2 linked regions of the Nothobranchius furzeri genome follow. The protein of the gene in region 2 interacts with the protein of the main gene of each other region in a biochemical or structural test. Links are inferred from orthologs where the notes say so. Each region holds a gene or a part of one and is shown on either strand. Other genes may lie near its edges.

The links.
Region 1: the proteins of GRB2-associated-binding protein 1 (region 2) and grap2a form a complex in vitro, tested with the Homo sapiens proteins (2 studies listed by BioGRID and IntAct, with this or other methods). The link is inferred for Nothobranchius furzeri from reciprocal best matches to the Homo sapiens genes GAB1 and GRAP2.

The regions. Positions count from the first base shown.
Region 1 is NC_091745.1:28,872,173-28,882,611, forward strand, and holds part of grap2a (GRB2-related adapter protein 2a), read left to right. Parts: intron 1-6,567; 5' UTR 6,568-6,622; coding exon 6,623-6,700; intron 6,701-6,769; coding exon 6,770-6,861; intron 6,862-7,030; coding exon 7,031-7,150; intron 7,151-10,127; coding exon 10,128-10,314; intron 10,315-10,439. UniProt on the Homo sapiens protein: Interacts with SLP-76 to regulate NF-AT activation. Binds to tyrosine-phosphorylated shc.
Region 2 is NC_091742.1:87,974,232-87,984,670, reverse strand, and holds the start of GRB2-associated-binding protein 1, read right to left. Parts: upstream 9,868-10,439; 5' UTR 9,507-9,867; coding exon 9,432-9,506; intron 9,401-9,431; exon of another isoform or gene 8,001-9,400; coding exon of another isoform or gene 7,980-8,000; intron 4,001-7,979; coding exon 3,872-4,000; intron 3,784-3,871; coding exon 3,618-3,783; intron 2,298-3,617; coding exon 2,120-2,297; intron 1,511-2,119; coding exon 894-1,510; intron 1-893. UniProt on the Homo sapiens protein: Adapter protein that plays a role in intracellular signaling cascades triggered by activated receptor-type kinases. Plays a role in FGFR1 signaling. Probably involved in signaling by the epidermal growth factor receptor (EGFR) and the insulin receptor (INSR).

The sequences.
Region 1 (10,439 bases), on a different chromosome or scaffold from region 2:
ATACAATTGATCACACATACCTGCTCAAGAAATGTGAATACTATGGTCTTCGTGGTAAAACAATCAATGGCTTGAAAGTTATTTAAGCAGTAGATTTCAATATGTTAATGTTAATGATATAGATTCACAGCTTGAAAGAGTAATATGTGGTGTACCGCAAGGCTCGGTGCTCGGACCGAAATTATTCAACCTATACCTGAACGACATCTTTTCTGTATCGTCTCGGTTAAAATTTATTATGTTTGCAGATGATACAAATTTCATTTGTATGGGAAAAGATATGAGTAAATTATTACAAGAGGTTGAAAACGAATTGGATTCAATTAAAAAATGGTTTGATTACAACAAGCTATCACTAAATGAAAATAAAACCAAATTTATGATATTTTCAGGGAAAAGGGACAATGACGGTGCTAAGCTGTATTTAAATGGAGTCCCAATTGAACAAGTACATGAAACTAAATTCCTAGGTGTGATTATTGATAGTAAACTCAGTTGGAAACCACACATTGAATATATCAAACGGCAAGTGTCTAAATCTATTGCTATACTTTATAAAACTAGTGATGTACTAAATAAAAAAGCCTTGTTTTTAATTTATAGCTCTTTAGTTATGCCTTATTTGTCTTACTGTGCAGAGGCTTGGGGAAATGCAGTAAAACATGTGTTGAGACTGTATTTAAATTACAAAAAAAGAAGATTAAAATAGTTAATAAATTGGGATACCTCGAACCAACCCATTATCTATTTATTCAAACTAAAACGCTAAAATTAGGAGATATTATTAAAGTAAAAATCTTAGAGATTCTTCATAAAGTAGTTAATGATAATTAGGGATGCACCGATCAGGTTTTTTGCTGCCGATCACCGATACCGATATCAAAGAATGCTGATCACCGATACCGATCACCGATACCGATCACGTGGATTGGCCAGAAATTTTCTACAACATTATAATGAGTGCTACAAACTACATAATCTGGGAATAAAGGAAATGTAACCTAATCTAAAATGGTCTGTATTAGGGTTGTCACGGTGTGAAAATTTAACCTCACGGTTATTGTGACCAAAATTACCACGGTTTTCTGTATTATCGCGGTATTTTTTTTAAACGTGCTACATTTTCACACAATTAAATAAACCCTGTATGTCAGGAAATATTGTCCTCAGTTTGTGTCTAAATTTAGCCTAAAATGTGTTATTTTGTAATTATGTTGTTTATTTGTTTACATTTTTCCCCTTTAGTCTTTAAAATACCAATATTTGCCCATAACTTTGTATTTTATGTCTGTTTGATGTCATCATTTAAAAATATTAGATCAGATGATACTCAGTACTCAAGTAGCCTTCTAATCAGATACTTTTTTTTTTTACCCTTACTTGAGCAATCCGTATTTCAGGAAAATATTGACCTCGGTTTGTGTCCTTCCAGTGAGCTTTGCAGATGTGGGAAAATGTCATCAGGCAGTAATCATTGTTAAGTTCATAATTATTCTCGGAGAGAGACCAACTCTTATCTGCCCCTGGGAGCCCCGTAATGCATAGCGTCATTTCAACATGGCGGTGTCTGCGACACGGTTTATATGCAGGTAGCGGCGCTGCGGCTGCTTTATATAGCGACTCGTTGCGTTCTCCCTCAACCCAAATCCTCGGATCACGCATTTTAGCTAAAACGCTAACGTTAGCTTGCCTTGCATTGACTGTAGAGTTGTGGGTGATGGTCACGCAGATGTGTCATGAGATAAGAAGCGTTGCTGCCTTTCACAGACACTTTTTCTGCTCGTGCTGCAAACAGGATAGCCGCCCGTCTTCTATAAACTTCCTCGGCATTCTTCAAATATCTAAAATATGCCCGTACTTCTGACTTTGTCTTCTTTGAGGGATAATAAATGTCCTCCTGAGCGCTGCCGTCTCCTCCTTTGACCATTATTTCAGCTTTAGCTTCAAGAAAGTTTTGTTGTAAACAAAGCGTGTATGTGCCGCCGGCAACTTCAGCAGATGATACGGTGGCTGGTAAGGGTCACCGCGCCTACACCGCAGCCACGGTAAACCCACCAAGATAATATAGTTTTTTAAAAACAAGACGGTTATTATTGTCAACATTTTTTTTACCGGGGTTTAGCGCTACACTGGTTACCGTGACAACCCTACCTGATCGGTTTGCTTTGATCTATTTTGAAAATTCCGATCAAAACCGATAGGGGCGCTATCGGCCGATTACGATCAAATGCCGATCCATCGGTGCATCCCTAATGATAATATCCCAAATTGCATAAAAGTTTATTTCAAACAAAGAGATGATCATTATAATCTCAGAGGTGTATTTATGTTTGAATGTGTAAAAGCCAGAACTAATGTGAAATCAAGATGTGTTTCCATTCTTGGTGTGAAATTGTGGAATGAGTTAGATGATGATTTGAAGAAATGTACTTCTTTACTAAAGTTTAAAGCAGGTGTAAAGTGTCACATATTTACAGGGTATGAAAAGTAAGTATAGACATTAATGAATTTTCATTGTGGTTATTTATATTGGGGAAAATAAAAGAAATGTATATTGGTTATGTATCTTAGGTGGAAAATAGGGTAGGCTAAAATAAGCTTTGCTTCTGCCTATTCCTTTTTTGGTTTAAATTCAAATTGTTAATATTGTTTTGTTTGAAAAAAAAATTTTATGTTAATGCTATAAACCAAAATAAAGACCGAAAGAAAGAAGAAAGAAAGTGTTAAACGCCTTTAGTTTCACCATCAAGATCAAATATAAATTAATTACTGTTATCAGTGATAACACTAATAAATTTATATATATATATTAATCAGAATTATTATCGCGGGCGGCCGCCGCCAATTAATTCGCGGACCTCGCAGTAAAAACAGGTTCACTCTGTGTGGATATTTCAGCTCCTTCCCAGTCATGGACCAGGACAAACTTGGTATCGATGGATTCGTGGTAATCTCAGGAATGAGAAGCTGCCACTGTTTTTCGTATAGCATGATGACACTGGTGTTAGAGGATTGTTATTGACCTGGTTAGATATTTTAAGCCTATTTTATATTTCTTTATATTTGATCTTGAAAACGGACAATCTTATAATTTGGCTGATAATGCAGGGATTATAAAATTTAGAGTACATTACATTCACAGAGAGAACCTGGTTTATTTCATGTCATATGTATTTAATATATCAATATATATCAGCAAAGCTTAACATCATGAACCATGACAGACATGACTGAAGAGCAGATGAAGATATCATGCCAGGCACTGATGAGAAAATATTACAAGGATCTCACAGCTGAATTTGAGAATGAGATGCTACACCTGAGAACAATATATGGTGCCACATTTCCACACATTCGGTCTCCTCTTGAGCTGCTTAATGCCATCTACAGGATGCAATTACAGAGCATTTTTGGAGAAGTTTATATTGGACTGAGGATATTTTGCACACTACCTGTGACTGTTGCTGGGGGTGAACGGGCTTTTAGCAAACTGAAACTGGTGAAAAATTATTTGAGATCAACAATGTCCCAGGATAGACTGAACAGCCTAGCTCTTCTTTCTATTGAAAGCCAATTAGCCAAAGGATTGGACTTTAAAGATCTCATAAGTGATTTTGCTAACATGAAGACCCGTCAGTGGGCATTTACTGGAAAATAAATTCCAGGATTTTTGTTTGAACACATTGTTGGCAAATAAAAATAATTATATGTGAAGTCTGGGCTTTTCACTTTTATTATGCTGGCATTTGTATTTGCTCAATATAGAGGTTAAACTAAGATCATATTTATTGTCTTGTCTTATAGCATGACAAAAAATGTGTAAGAGAGATATTAAGTAATTGAGCATGGGGGCCCACCTAGAAGACTTGTACCTAGGGCCCAGAATTTGGTGCTACGCCCCTGGTTCCAACTATCAGCTTGTGGAGCTCTCAGGAGACCGATGTTTTCCACCCGTTTCTCCCCTCCCCGCAGCTCAGCACATCTCTGATCGCTGCGGCCCCTGTCTGCTGCGCGGGCTGACGGCTTGTGGAGCTCTGGGATGGAAACCTTTCCACCCGGTTCTCCCTAGCGGCAGCTCTGCGCATCTCAGATCGCAGCGGCGCTTGTCTGCTGTGCGGCTGCCGGCTTGTGGAGCTCTCGGAGACCTCTGTGTTCCACCCGGTTTTACCCAGCGGTCAGCCCGGCGTATCTCTGACTCAGAAGCTCTGGTGTTGTGCACAGTTAGCTCTCAACTCAACTCAACTCAACTTTATTTATAAATCGCGCCTTACAGGCAAAAAGATGCCACCAAGGCACTACACTGATCAAATAAAAACATAAAACAGTAAGTCCAGAAAATAAAACATTGTATCACACGATACAGTTAAAACTACAGTGAGTAAAATCGCTATAAGTAAAACAATAAAACTAGTTAGAAAGGTTAAAAGACAGGTCATAAAAATATGTTTTTAGCCTTGCCTTAAAAACTGCAACAGAGGTGGAGGCCCTTATGCTGAGAGGAATCTTATTCCAAAGCTTAGGACCTGCCACAGCAAAGGCCCTATCACCACGCGTCTTTAGGTGCGTTCTTGGGACCGAGAGGAGCATGGAGTTCTCCGAGCGGAGTGACCGTGAAGGGGTGTATGGTTGAAGTAGTGACACCAAGTAAGGAGGGGCTAAACCATTTAAAGTTTTAAAAACTAGTAAAAGTATTTTAAAATGAATCCTAACATCAACGGGCAGCCAGTGAAGCGCATCCAGGACAGGAGTTATGTGGTCAAACTTGCGCCTGCCCTCTAAAAATCTGGCAGCAGCATTCTGCACCATTTGCAACCTGGCTATTGAGCCCTTGCTCACACCGAATAGAACAGAGTTGCAGTAGTCCAATCGCACCGTAATAAAAGCATGGACCATCGTCTCAAGATCATGACGTGACAGAAATGGTTTGAGCTTTGCCAGCCGACGAAGGTGGAAAAAGGAGGAGGAGATCACTCCATTGATGTGGGTATCAAAACTAAGGGCGCTATCTAGTTTAACACCAAGATTAGTCACCGATGTAGACAGCTGTCCCTTAAATGACCCACAGTCAGTTAGGGAAGAGTCACAATGTATGCTTGGAGCAAACAATATAGCCTCTGTTTTCTGATCATTTAGGCTCAGAAAATTTTCAGTCATCCAGGTCTTGATCTCCCTCAAACAGTTTGTAAGAATAGAAATAGAGAGACCACTTGACGTGTTCAGAGGCAGGTACAGCTGACAATCATCAGCATAAAGATGGAATTGAACTCCAAGCTCACGACAGATGTCACCTAAGGGTAGAATGTAAATAGAAAACAACAGAGGGCCCAATATCGAGCCCTGTGGTACCCCCCAAGGTAGATCAGAGTACTCTGAGGAATACCTTCCCATCCTAACACACATTTTTCTATTTGTCAGGTATGATCTAAACCATTCCAGGGCTAATCCTGAAATCCCGACATAATGATGAAGACGGTGAAGCAGCACTTCATGGTCTATCGTGTCAAAGGCTGCCGTGAGGTCCAGCAGAAGTAGCAACACAGAATTACCGCTATCAGTCGCAAGATAGATGTCATTGAGTACTCTAACCAGAGCAGTCTCCGTGCTGTGCAGAGCTCTGAAGCCAGACTGGAAAGTCTCAAAAATGGCATTCTCGTCCATAAAAACCAAGAGTTGGTGATAAACACATTTCTCTAGCACCTTACTCAAGAGCTCTGGTTGTAGCTAGGTTGCTACCTCCGTTAGCTTAGCTCCCACCTCCGCGTTAGCTTTGGGTTAGTTTCAGGTTAGCTTGTAGCTAGTTCGACCGGGTGTCGTCAGTTGATCCCAGCCTTACAGCCCCACCCTCAGCTCCACCTCTCTTCCCTTTTGTGGAATTGTCTGGGCTTGACAGAACCTGTGACACGGTCAAAATGGCGGTGGTGGCCACCTCCCATTTCTCTTCAAAAATGTGTTATTGAGCTTGTGGAAACCCATTGTCCATATATGTATATGTCGTTGGTACACACACCGGTGCTCACATGGTGCTCTCATAAGTATGGACTTGGGCACGTTCAACACATGTCTTAAGGCTGTCGTTGCCACTAAATGCACTATGATATATTATTTTGTGATTGTTCAGTAAAACAATGATGATTTTATATTTCTTCATTAGGTTGATGCAGTGATGATGGCATGCTCCTGTTGTATTGTTGTGTGTCCCTTTCCTGCAGGTCTAGAAGCAGACTATTGTTCATCATTGATTGTTCTTTTTCGTGGATTGACAGCACACTGAAGTGCTGTGAACAAGAGCTCGGAGTGTCTGTCATAGGTCATAGGTCAGATAGCTTGTTTTGGAGACTTATGTGGCAGTGTTGAGAAAAAGCAGCATTAAAACACTCATTTTTACACTGTGAAGATACTAAAACCATAAACATATCAAGATAAATGCTTCCGTTAGAAACAAAGTGTTTAGTCAATAAGCGGATTTTATTATCAGATTATAACATTATGAAACATTTTCCTCTCAGATGGAGCCACGGACAGAGTGTAAACTTCCTTAATCTTCCTTCTTTTTCTTTGTCTCTGCAGAAACCCACTTGTCGTGGACCGCTGTCTCCTATTTTTCTAACCAACGCTGTTCCTAATGGAGTCAAGAGGAAAGTATGATTTTACTGCCACAGCAGACGATGAGCTGAGCTTTAGGAAGGGTGACATCCTGAAGGTGAGTCTGAATCATCAGGTGTCAGGATTTATGAGCCGATGTGGGTCCTGAATCTGTGTTCCCGCTCAGATCCTTAGTCTGGAGGAAGACTGGTGTAAAGCTGAGATAAGTGGGCAGGAAGGATACATACCCAAGAACTACATCGATCTGCAGCATCCGGGGTGAGATAGACGCACACACACACACACACACACACACACACACACACACACACACACACACACACACACACACACACACACACACACACACACACACACACACACACACACACACACACACACACATTAACTCAGTCCCCAACACAACAACCCACTGCTCGTTGTTCAGGTGGTTTCGGGAGAACATCAGTCGCGTTGCTGCAGAGGACCAGCTGAGGAACAAACCCCTGGGAGACTTCTTGATCCGAGGATCTCAGAGTTCTCCTGGAGAGTTCTCCATCTCCGTCAAGTAGGTCCACTGAGTCTCTGCTCTGATGTGAGCTCAACTTTAGCAACAGGAATCCAGAATCTCCCTGACTGTTGGAGACAGAACTGGGACAAAACCTGAAGCTGGAATCAGACTTCCTATGAAGCTTTTATAAGTTCATCTGGGTCACAAGATGTGAGCGAGAACATATTTCAATGGTGCTAATTTTTTTTATCACTATTTAGTCATGAAGTTTATTTATTAGTTCTCAATTTTATCTCGATTCTTCCTTAACTTGTCTCGTGCTTTTGTGCTTTCTGATTTAGAAGCTTGACTGGGTCAGGTTTCGGATGGGTTTTAGGCTGAGTCCAGATACCTGCACTGATTCTGAGAATATTCCGAGTAGTTCAAACATTTCCAACATTCCTGAACCTCACCGTTAGCGATGTTTACGAGGAAGTTTCCAAAGTGTCTCAAAATGCTGTGGGGTATCTCCAGTGAGTCTCGGGGCGTCGCTCCCTCGTGTTACTGAGGTTTTGCAAATACTGAGAAAAAGACAATTATTGCTTGAAATTAATCAGAGTTGTTGCAGACGTCTGAATCATGTCTCGGTTTAGTTTCTGAGGTAAAGTGTGAGACTTTGGCAGGAGTTGTGGACAAATGGTGAAGAAAAAGAAGCGTAAATGAAGCTCTCTGTAACTGACCTACAGCAGAAACATCTGTCTCAGAGGTTAAATTTCAAGTGCCTGAAGTACCTATTTAATCTGGTCTGGCTTCCGCTGGTAAATAACCAAATAATCTGGATTATGATCGGGACTAAAATACATTTCCTGTTAGAAAGACGAACTTCCTTAGATCATATTTTAGTTTCTGTGTGAAAGTGATTTAATTTCTGTTGGCGTGTTTCTTCTGTAAAACCTGTTCCTGCTCTGGTTTCATCATCAGAAATAATTCATCTTTTACACACATTAGTTTCCCAAAACTCTGCAAGACTTGTTATTAAACTAAATCTAAACAAGACAAATGAAACTGATCAGAGACAAAGTTCTGTCCTCTGAGTAGACGCTTCGGTTGGTTTCACCGCTTTAGTACAGAAAAGTGCTGATGATTAAATTCTCTTCAGCTGTTCTGATGGTGCGCGCACTCACACACACACACACACACACTCACTCACATATATATATGTATGTATACATACATACATACATACGGTATACATATTTATAAATATATATATATATATATATATATATATATATATATATATATATATATATGTATAAATATGTATGTATGTATGTATGTATGTATGTATGTATGTATGTATGTATATATATATATATGTGTGTGTGTGTGTGTGTGTGTGTGTGTGTGTGTGTATGCAAAGCCAAGTTCTGCATGGACAATGATCAACCACTTCCATCCTTCTTCAGCAGATTGAAGCTGAATTATTTCAAACATCTGGACGCTGAAGCAAAATGAACAGTGACCTAATAAAATATTTAAATTAAAGCTTAAAGGATGGTGACATAAATCATCCTAAAATGATTTTGAATTATTTGTTAAGAGTGAATAAAAAAGATGATATACAATGGTCCAGGCGTAATGTCAGCTATTCCAATACACTATAAACTCATCTCCATGTTACTTCCTGATCAGTTGAAACATGGTTGTTGCAGTTTTCCACATTGACCAGCAGAGGACAATCCAGCCTTGGGATGTAGGAAACTGGGAATCACTTTGGTTTTCATAATAAAATATAAAAAATGAGCCAGAATGCTCCATTTCATCCTGAAAAAAATGTTTCACATTTCTGGCACAAAAAAAAAGTCTGATCCTGGAATATGTAAATATGTGTATATATATATATATATATATATATATATATATATATATATATATATATATATATATATATATATATATATATATATATATATATATATATATATATATATATATATATACACTATATATATACAGTATATATATATATATATATATATATATACAGTATATATATATATATATATATATATATACACTATATATATATATACTGTATATATATATATATATATATATATATATATATATATTTATATATATACAGTATATGTATATATATATATATATATATATATATATATATATATATATATATATATATATATAACTCAAAGCTCCATAGGAGGAATAGAAGAACAATGTGATGGTTACTCTCTGTTTAGAATGTATTGTAGTAAATCTGCAGGGTTGTTGTGTTCTTAGGAAAACGGAAACTTGAAGGCCAACTCTCTGTAGGAGTTTCAGGTCACTTTGGCTACATTGTAGCTCATCACCATCAGTGTGTGAATGTGTTCTCTTTGCCAAAATACATTTGTTGGACATGAGAAAACTATAACTGTCCTTCTTCGCCTGAAGTCTTCTGCACATAGCAGTGACTGAGCTTGTAAACAATAGGGTATAAACACAGGTTGCACATGAGCCTTTTTGACGTGGCCACTGACGTAGTGAGACCTAAAATCATCGTCAGTCACGCACACAAACAACGTAGAATTTCCAAATCTCCACTTTGGTCAGATCTTTTGAAAGACTTGTTTTTTGTGCCGTTTATTTTCACTTTTGTGTTGATGACAGGCCAAATGTAGAAAAACGATTTAGTTTTGTGGGAAACCTGGCTAGGTGTGTACAGGGCCTCATTGATGTTAACATGCCAGGTTTTTATTTCCATGTTTTAAAAAACTTGTCATCGTCTGTTAAATGTTGGTTTCCCTTTGAGATAAATCGGTATTGGTCCTCAAAACCAGAGGCGGTGCATTTCCAGATTTAGCTGTTTTCCAGTTTAAATGTGTCTAAAATTGTTTGATTTTAAATTATTCCAATTGGACAAAAGTTGATTTTGTTTGTCTTTAGCTTCACAAACTGAATTCCTGAATGTTTTTTCTGTGACAGTCCAGAGCCGAACAACAGACTTCCTCCTGTCTGACCCTGACATTTGTCCTCCGTCTTCCCTCAGACACGAGAACGACGTCCAGCACTTCAAGGTGATGCGAGACAATAAAGGCCAATACTTCCTGTGGTCGGAGAAGTTCACCTCCATCAACAAGCTGGTGGACTTCTACAGAACCACATCCATCTCTAAAACCAGACAGATCTTTCTGAACGACGGCAGCGCAGACACCAGGAGCCCCCCCGTGACCCAAGTAGGAACCGATTTCTACGCCTTAGTCAACGTTTCATTTAAAAGAACTCAAACTACACAACTAAAATGTCATCTCCCATTATGACTATTATAATGTGTTATTTATCAACAAATCATAAAATAATT
Region 2 (10,439 bases):
GTGTGTGTGTGTGTGTGTGAGACACTTTGAATCTCTCTATGCTATTAGACAGAAAATCTAGAAAATTCTTTGACTTTTAGAATAAACTCAAATAAAGATGGCCGCCACAGCTAGGTGCAATTAGCAAAAGGGGAACAAACCCCCCACAAAAGCATTGCTTTAATTTGACTGATAATAAGCAAAATTGAATTTGCTGTGGCTTCACAACTTAATCTTGATGCTAACAGATTGCATCAAATTTTGCAAAATTGCATGAAATTAAAATCACCAAATAGTTCCCGAGCGCAGCCGTGTCTGCAGCTCACCGCTCCCTACGGGGATGGGTCAAATGCAGAGGACAACTTTCACCCGTGTGTGTGATGTCTAATGGAACTTTAATTAAACATAAAATTTTCAAGATGGTTGCCATTGATGAATGACGAACTGAAAGAAGCTAACTGCTAGCCTGTTTCTGGTAAATGGCCTCCGCTACCGTCGCCCGTAGGAGCTTCAGTAACTCAGCCAGACTGTGGCTAACCCGAACCCCAAAGTTTCTCAGTAGAGCTTTCTAATTCTCTAATTATTGTTGCCTAATTATATTTTTCATTAGTTATATTTTGAGTTTCAGTGACTTCTGTGAATTTAGCCTTCTCTTTAATGGAAGGATATGAATAAATGTGAGAATTACTGTGTAAACGTGGCTCACATCCTAAAGTAGAGAGGATTTGTTTTCACAGAACCAGCTAACAATAAATGCATTATATCATATGAGTGAATAAGTGTAATGTAGTGCATTTGTCTGTTGGTCAAAATGTGAAAGTTGAAATGTTTCATTAAAAAAGAGGATCACTCATCTGGGCTAAGCCCCGGATCTTTTTCAATCCTAAATCCGCCCCTGGTTATGCTGCTGTTACCTTTGGTTTGGTGTCCTCTGTTTGTGCGTCCCTCTCTCCTCTCTGGCTCCGAGTTGGCTCTGGGTAACGTAGCAGGTCCCGAGCTTTCTCCATGAGTGGCACTGGGAGGGGGCTTGGGTGGCCGAGGAGGGGGCGCTGGGATGGAAGCGTGGAGCTCTGCTGGTGTGAGGGAGTCTACACTGGGCGTTGATGATGGCCGGCGAGGAGGAAGCTGCTGAGGTGTGGAGGCTGACGCTGGACGGGGGACCTGATAACCGCTATTTGCGAACGAGAGGTCCCCGCCCACATGTGTGTCCTCTCTGAGCGAGGCGGCCACAGGACGCAGGTGGAAATCTAGAGAGTGTTTTCTGGGATGAGGAGAGGGGTGACAGTGAGGCCTGCCGGCCCGTTTGTGGAAGTCAGAGGTCATGCTGGCGTCCAGCGATTGGCTGAGGGGGCTCGTCATTGCAGATAGAGTCCAGGGGGCTGTCCTGACGCTGGAGGATGGAGGGGGGAGGCTGTTGGGAGGGAGGGACGGAGAGGAGGAGGAGGAAGAGGAGGTGGAGGTGGCTGAAGGATGAGGGAAGATGTTGTCGTTGTAATCAGTTTCCAGGGAAGTGAAAGAACCCAAAGGAGGCCTGAAGAAAAATACGAGTTATCCTAACCTAGCTTAGATTAAAAAGGCTGCATTTGGGTTTAATCTAGCTCAGTAAAAGAAAACAATGATGTTTTTTTTCCTTTAAAGTTGTAATACAAAAAATAGCCAAGAATCTGTGGATCCTTTCCACAGATGCACCAGGAACACGTGGGTGTGACTGAGGCGGAGGACCTCCATCCTTCAGTCCGACGTGTCTGAACCTGAAACTCTCAGCTGCTCTGTTCTGGTTTTTCCTGGAGATCCTCGGCTTGTTCTAACACCCGTGGTTCTAGGAACTAAATGAGCTAATCTTTCATGGCACATCTGACTCATTACGGATGCGAAAGAGGCCTGAGCTAATCCCTCTGATTGTCATCAGTGTGTTGTTAGTCTCACTGGATCCAAACAGTTGGGAAGCGCATGAAACTGAAGCAAGCTGCAGCACGTTTGGCTCGTTTTGGAGGCGTAGGAAACGAATTTCACTCTTTGATGTAACGTCATTAGCCCTCATCTTGCTAATACCGGGTCATTAAGTTGTAAGATCAGGGAGGTTTGAAACTGTTAAATCCAGCTTTAAGTAATAATTTAGTTCTGTGTTTGTGTTTTTTACCCCATGTGACTCTGGCAGTTTGACAACCACAGGTAGTCTTCCTCCGTGCTGCTGTCGTGCTCCAGGTGACGCACGCCCACCGGGTCATACGGAGGCGGGACAGACCCAGTTACCATAGAGATAGAGGGGGTACCACTGGTTGTGGTCACGCATGTGGAGGCGGAGCTCAAACGTCTTTCTGAAAATGTAGAAAATGGAACTGGTAACATAATCATGAACAGTCACGCGTGTTAAAACGTACTCGTCCATCACACAACAGTACTAAACTGGTTAAACCTGGACTAGATAACTAAATAAACACTAAACCAGCTGCTGGTTTAGGAACAGGACCGGCGAGTTAGCGGCTATTCCTGTCATCGACTTCAAAGCACATCTCGTTGTTGTTATGTAAACATTTACACAGCTGTACATGTTGTATTGTGGTCCTTATTTTGCACAGCAATAATATTTTGGCAGCAGAAGGAAATCCTGCTGTATTTTGACCTTTTGCTGCACCAGGAGTGCAACATTAATGGTGACATTTAGTCTGGAACAAAACCAGCTAACAAAGAAAAGTTGGTCAAATATCGTTCGCATTTCTATAATTGGAATTTAAGCTAGTTTACAAAAGGGACCCTGCTGATGCGTTGTGTCTCAGGTAAGGTGTCAGAGAGGAGGGGGAGTGTGTGTGTGTGTGTGTGTGTGTGTGTGTGTGTGTCTGTGGGTCAAAAAGAGCTAAAAAACAAAAATAATCCTTTAACGTCATTAGAAAAGTCTAAAAGGCCAAATTAGAAGTTTAGTTAAAAACGACTGATAACTTTAAATTCTGTCCATCACATCAGTTCCGTCTGGTGTATTAAAACGGTTAAAATCAGATTATTTTCTTTAATAATCTAATCTAGATTAAGCAGACAGAATCTTTTCCTAGATGGTGCGGTGCGGCAGAACCCCAGCCCAAGTGGAGCATGGGCCGGAGGAGGTCAGGTCCATGTGTGCAGCAGCCCTAACACTGACCAGCTAAAGCACGAGGGAGGATGTGACACGGACACGAGGCGCTTACACGTCAGACATCAGGGACAGGTGTGAGGAATCAGTTAGCCAGTTAGATGGTATCTGATCTATAAACACGGGCACCCTGACTGTCAGCCTGCTGCTGTAGTAAATACTTACACTGGACCATGCAGCCGAAACATAAAATCCACTCATCTCTGCAGAAAACTATCGCCTTCATGCATCTGCAAGCAGACATCTGGTAAAAAGTTCACTTAAGCTGTAGAAAGACCCGGTTTAGATGGATGATTACAGATTTCTACATTTTGCTGTAAGACGTCCTTCATGACTGACTCAGTGACAGTCCCAGCGACCTCTCTGTCCCTCTCTTTCTCTGCTGCTTTCGTGGTTTCTCCTCCTACCAGTTTTCACGCTGACTCAGCATCAGCCCACACAGACCAACCGTCCATCTCCAAACACCAAACAAGTCAAATCTACAGGCATGTCTTCCAGCCTGAGTGTGCCGTACCGTCATCCGTTGGGTTGAATCCACAGAGGAGGCAGATGGACGTCACCCAGCGGTTCATGTCCTCCTCGGACTCGGCCACCAGGTACCAGGTCCTCTCCTCCGTCCTCAGGTCAAACACGAAGCTGCTCTCCAGCTCTTTCTTTGTGAAAGACAAACCGGCGTCCACCTGGAATTGAGACAAGGAACATCCAGACTCGTGAAACACGTCAACGCGACCTCTGACCTTTTCTCCAATCACGTTTTACAACACGTACCTGTTCACACAGATTCAGATTGATGGTCCCAATTGGCCGACGGGAATTCTGGTTCTTGTAGTACTGCAGAACGTCGGGTTCTCCACTGAGTCGACCGCTCCTCAGAACAAACCAGCGCCTTTTCCACGCCTGGACAGACGGTTGGAGAAAAACATCAGCTATCCAAGAGCGTTCTAGACTTCTCCTGTGGACATTCCTGCAGCTGGGAACTAAAGTAGGTTACTGACCATGGACGTAATTTTGGGGGGGACAGGGGGGGGACATGTGCCCCCCACTTTTTCCAAAGTCAAGTTTTGACCCCTGCACTTTTTACCATCCAAAAACAATATTACGCTATTCTAATTTGACACTGGTTGAGCTCTAGGACCAAGCGGAAAACAACCATTTGTGTTGAAGCCTGTTTCCCATTAGAGTATACTGTAAAGATCCCCCCCCCCCCCCCCCCCACACACACACACTTTTAAAGTGAAAATTACGTCCATGTTACTGACTGTAGAGTCTGATTATGTAATGGTCTTTTCTCTCCCTCCATCAGCTTCTGCATGTTCTAGCTCCAATATCTGACACTCCGGTTAGCACAAACATTAAATCACCCAAAACGGAGATGAAGGTGATTTTTAAATGTTGGACAATGTTTTCTGGATGTTTCCTTCATGCAAGGAGCGTTACGGGTGGAGGACATCTCCCACACCCGCAGGATGGCACCTCGTGTTTCAGACATGACTCACTGCCCGTGTGTGTGTGTGTGTGTGTGTGTCAGAGGTTGTAGAGCGCTAGTGTGTAGGTAGTGCTAAATGCGCCTGATGATTTTTAAAGGTGTGAATCAGAGCATGAAGAAAGGTTTTTATTTAAAAGCGTTGTGTGGAACGACAGACGTTAAACTGAACAGCAGGATTTAGCTTGGTGCTTCTGTGGAGGTTGAAGATGTTTTAGTGTGTTCCTCTGATCAAAGGTGACCTTCTTTAAAGCACTTGGTTCTCTCCCAACACAGACAGGAAGAGGAAGTAGCTGGACAGGAAATGCTGGTAAGAAGTGGCAGTGGAAGTGTGTGTTTATTCTCTTCCCCCAACAATCTGTTTGATAATCGCTTGTCCCGAGGCTCCAGCCTGATGGACGCAGGCGGGAGTCCGTAGGAAAATATTGTTTCTGTTTTTTTCTAAACGGAGAAACTTTTGTGCAACGTTTCTTTTGGCCATGCCTCGTTTCAGACCGGGTTTATTCAGTCGGGTTACACGGTAAAGCCTCTGCTATGTTCTCTGGTTGTTGGAATAAACACAACTGTTTTTGGTGTTTGTGTGATGTTGTGTATTTTTTAAGGCGCAGGGCTTATTTATTACTTGTTACCCTCATTTTAAAGTAATTCATTACATTACAATATTACTGATTTTAAAATGTAAGGCATTACACTACTTTTGCATTACTTTAAGTTACTTTCACCAAAACAACTTCAATATAAATCTGGTCATGTGACGCTCAGTGAGCTCATGACATATATGTGGAAAGTGATGTGGTGTCTGAGCTAGGATTGCTGTTAAAAACAGTCAGATATAATAACAGTGCTTTAAAATGATTGTTTGTTAAATAAAAGCAACAATGATCTGTACTCTCAGCACGCTGCCATCTTAGATTAGCTGAGCAGGGAGTGAGGTGGTGGGGGCTCCAAGCCTATATTTGCCTTGGTCCCCAAATGCCTTGATACGGCCCTGGATGTGGGACTGACTTCTGGGGTGATCTGATTCTATCACATGTATAAATATTAAATGCTTATATATTATTGCTTTTCACTGGTAAAAATGTGTGTTGGGGATAAATCTACCTACTTTTTTCTTTTCAAGCACTTTGTTTTGTTTTCTTGATTTTATGTGAATAATTTCCTGCCCTTTCTCTCTCTAACCTTCCTGCATGCTGCATGTTTTCTCCGTCTTCTAGAAAAACTGTAAACTAGATTTCCTAGTTTCTAACTAATCAGCCAAAGGGATCTACCGAACACAAAAATAAATAAATAAATAAATAAATAAAAAAAGCTTTGCGCTGCACTCCAGCAGCAAGGAGTTGAAATCACCGGTGCACAGATTATGAACTCAGCTGAAAAGTACATGAAGTACCAGAGAATATGGGCTGATATAAACCATCGCAAACGAATTACTTTGTTTTGGTGGAGCGATTTTGTGAATATAATAGCGGCCGCGCGCAGGACGCAGCTGGAGTGTTTGAGCCATTACCACTGCGTCCTCTCTGCTCATAGAATGCCCGCAAAGCTGAGTCCATAAATGACGTCATATATGTGGATACTGGATCTTTTTTCAGGCTTCCCGCAATTAGAATTTTTAGGAAACCCGCATCTAGATTCTGGGTTTAAAAATGCATTGTAATTACCGCGTTACTGACAATTGTACCGAGTAAATATTACCATTTTCTTTCCCTGTAATGCCTTACATTACCACATTACAGCAAAAAGCAATGCATTACAGTAGTTAATTACTTATGTACCGCGTTACTCCCAACACTGATTGGGAGCACATAAGAAATGCTTGCGTGGCCGTGCAGCTACGGTTCTGATGTATTTTTAGAGGTGCAGCTTGACGACAACGATTCATATTTAGAGCATGAATTAACCCTTTGATGCATGAATTATGAAATCTTCAACCAAGATTTTTGAAACAATTGTTTTTCATACATATTTGGGTGTGAATGAAACAAATTTCAACCAATATTTTTTATAACGTTGAATAATTTACAAATAATTTCTTACATGTCCACCTCAGTTGTACCGAAATATGTTGGCTTGACTTACTGAAGTCCAAATGGAGGAGCTCAAATTCATTAAAGTCTTCAACAGCTGTGCTTAATGGCAAAATTAAATAAATAACAATTTTGAGTACCTGTCCACTTTAGTGACCGTTATGCATCAAAGGGTTAATATTCCCCAACTGGGGGCCTTTGAGCCCAAATGGTTAATTTTCTTTAACTCGTAATTTTTTTTTATTCAGTTATCACTTACTTTTGATTCTCTAATGAGTTGTATATGAATTATTTATTTCTTTTTTCTATTTTGTTTTTATTTTGTGTGTTATGTTTTAATTGTATATTAATTAGTTACTATGCTCATTTAATCTGTTTTTTTCTTGTTTTTTTCTTTCTTTCTTCTCCTTAGCCATCGTGTTCAGTATAACATCTTGCCACTGGACTACAGTTGAAAATTAGCCTGCTGGCTAACACTGGCACATTTACAGTAACGTATATTAATGTGCACGGTCCTTAAATAAATAAATGAAATGAAATAATCAGGGCTGCATGGTGGCGCAGTGGTTAGCACTGTTGCCTCGCAGCACGAAGGTTGCAGGTTCGAAACTCGGCTGTGGCCTTTCTGTGTGGAGTTGGGTGTTCTCCCCATGCATGCGTGGGTTTCCTCCGGGTACTCCGGTTTCCCCCACAGATCACAACATGCCCTATAGGTTATACATTGTAAGTCGCTTTGGATAAAAGCGTCGGCCAAATAAATAAACATAAACATAAGGCGTTACCCCCCCACCCCACAACCCCCCACCCTCCCTGAGATGTTAGGAATAACAAGGGTGATGTTTTAAGTAGATCCTGATTCTAATCAACAGGATCAAATATTAGCGTTCTCCGTGCTTTCTCCGCCTGTTTCCATGAACATGTCTGACTTTAATATTCATGCATAAAAAATAGTAATTTGGTTAAAAAATAAAAACACTGTTGAGACTGGAGAGGTTTGATGACAGATGAGTTTTGATCCGAGCAACATCAGCAAACCACATAAAACTTTATTTCTAACCACTAAACTGAACCAGAGAATAAAAAAAGTTTAAAAAGCGCTTTTTAAAAATTATTCTGTGAAGAAGTGTTCTATTTTTGATTTAATCATGTGAAGGCGACATATTAGTAATAATAGAGATAAGTTATTTTCCTGCAGCGATCTCCTCTGGTTTCCTGATGTTTGCTCCTTTGACCTTTGACCTCAGCCGGAAGCAGCTACAATAGAGTTAAAATATCTCTTCCCTTTTCCTGCCTCCAAACTAAAATTACCCCCAAAAGAAACATCTCCTTATTTAGATGAACCCTCTACATGTCGATTCTCTCTCACCAACTTTAGAGCCGAGTCCATGAAACCTCAGACGTGACGTCGCCATCAGACTCTCAGAGGGTGGCTGTGGCTCACTCATTTATCGATCCCGAAAGTCATGGAGAACTTTTAATGGTTCCATCACAGGATGAAGAATAAAACTCAACAATGTGAAATCAGACTTGTTTACATTTGAAAACAAGTTTCAGGTCAGCTTCCCTCCCGTCAGACTGTCATAAACGCATCTGTGACGCGTACACCCGCTGACGTCAGCGACGTCACGTTTACGCTCTCTCCGCGTTTCCAGATGCCCTAAAAGCTTCCAGGCAGGCCCAGCTGAGAGCGATTAGTTTATTACGCAACACACACTCTCTCACACCCGAACGCACTTTCTCCTACACACACACACACACACACACTGCTTTCGACAGAGCAGGGAGGTTAAGAGGAGGTAGGCTGCAGCAGGAACTTCATCCACATTCTTTACAGGAACACGTGGAGGCTGCTGCAGCCTTTAGGGCCGCTCGAGTCTGGTTTTATGGTGTTGACAATGGAAACATAGCTGTGTGTGTGTGTGTGTGTGCTAGATTGTACATGCGAGGACTAAATCTTTTTTATGATGTCTTCCTCTTTGGTTTCCCCTGCTGACCGCCTGTCCTGTCCAGTGGTTCCCTCCTAAAAACCTTTTCCTGCAAACATCTCTGAAACCAGCTGATTCGTTAGAAGCATGCTGGGATGTCCCATATCTGAGCTCGTTTTCTCTGAACTGAAGGTTTCAAACAGCAACGCTACTAAAAATAGATCCCTCTTGCTCTGATTTAGTCCTCCTTTACTTTCCGTACAAACAGAGAAAGGAAGGCATGTGACCAAAGGAGAGGAAGAGAGAGTACAACAAATGAAAGAGAAAGAGTGATGGAAGAGTAGACCGCAGACATTGTTCTGCTTCTCCCTGCAAACGGGAGGAAATATGGAGGAGAGATGAGATTAGGTCAAGTCACGGGGAAGGCATGTCAGAAATGTGGTGTGTGTGTGTGTGTGTGTGTGTGTGTGTGTGTGTCCGATCCAGCTCTCTGGCATCAGGTGTTGGAGATTTGAATTTAAAGATGCAGAATGAACTTTGTGTCGTTTCCACTAACCGTTGAGTTAACTGTTAAAGATTTACAGTAGGAAATGGAAACCTGGTGCTGTGGATCCAGATTTAACAGTTTGGTTTATTATCAGCAGACAAAAGTTAGATGAGAACGTTTCTGGGTCTCAGCTCAGCGGCTGCTCTCTGCTGGACGTGTTTATTGTTTTACAGTCATGGCTTTAGGAAATGACTCACGTCCACGGTGACAGCACACCGATGATGATTAAAGTTAAGAAAAAATACTCAGATGAGCATCCATCAACACCAGTCCAGTGCCGGTGGAGTGTGTTTAATCTAGTTAGAAATAAAGAAATAGATGAGTTTTTGAAACTGAGAGGACTCACGTATCTCCGTAGCTTCTTCTCTGGTGGGGATTTCCTCAGCCATCCTTCACACACCACATCTGCCGCTCCGCTCATCCTGATGTTTCTGGTTAGTCAGTCACCCTGTCAACAGCCGGTCGGGAGTCAGATCAGGTGAAGATCCCGTCTGAATCCACAGACTCAACCAGCAGAACCTCGCACCAGACTCCAGCCGGCAGGAGTTTGAATCAGAAGAACCCAAAACAACTCAGGACCTCAGATCAGCTCTGTCCTCACACACGTTTCCCTGGCTGAGAAGAATCCTGTTTGGGAGGAGCTCATCCACACACACACCAGAGCTGCTCCGCGTCTGCTGACTAACGCAGTCACACCTCCTCCTGAGAGACTTATTTCCCAACAGAATCACTCCTCCCTCCATAACCAAACACAATCCCTCAGCTCAGACATTCCTTCTCTCCTCTCCTCCCTCTCTTTGGCTCCTCCCCTTCCTGCTCACTCCCCCTATTCTGTTAGACAGGAAAAAAATCCCCCCCCCCCCCATGTGTGAGGAATGGTTTTCAAACAAAACTTTCAGTAACCGTCGCCAGTTTTCAGGTCTTCTGATGCAAAAAACTAAATCCCGAGTTATGAGAACGGACATTTTTCAATGTTTTTACTAAATTTTTCTGAGAACTGTCGAAACCCCCTTGATGATCGATTGTATGTTAAAATAAGTTTTCAATACAACAAATATCAGGCATCATTTTGTAATATTATACCAATATTTACCACAGCCACCACTCTGTGATAATTACTATTAAATGATTACATTTCATAAATAAACTATAATGTTTTTTTCTTCCACATCATTCATCAGCGTTCCCCTGAGCTTTACACTCACACACACTGAACCGTTTTTATTACCAAACTCATAACGTTCATGCACAAGCGCCTCTGCTGTTCTGCCCTTAAAACAGACGCAGGTTTAGTCGTGAATCTCTGGAGCTGCGCACTTACCATACCGACTGGTTTGTGGACTGCTGCTCCACA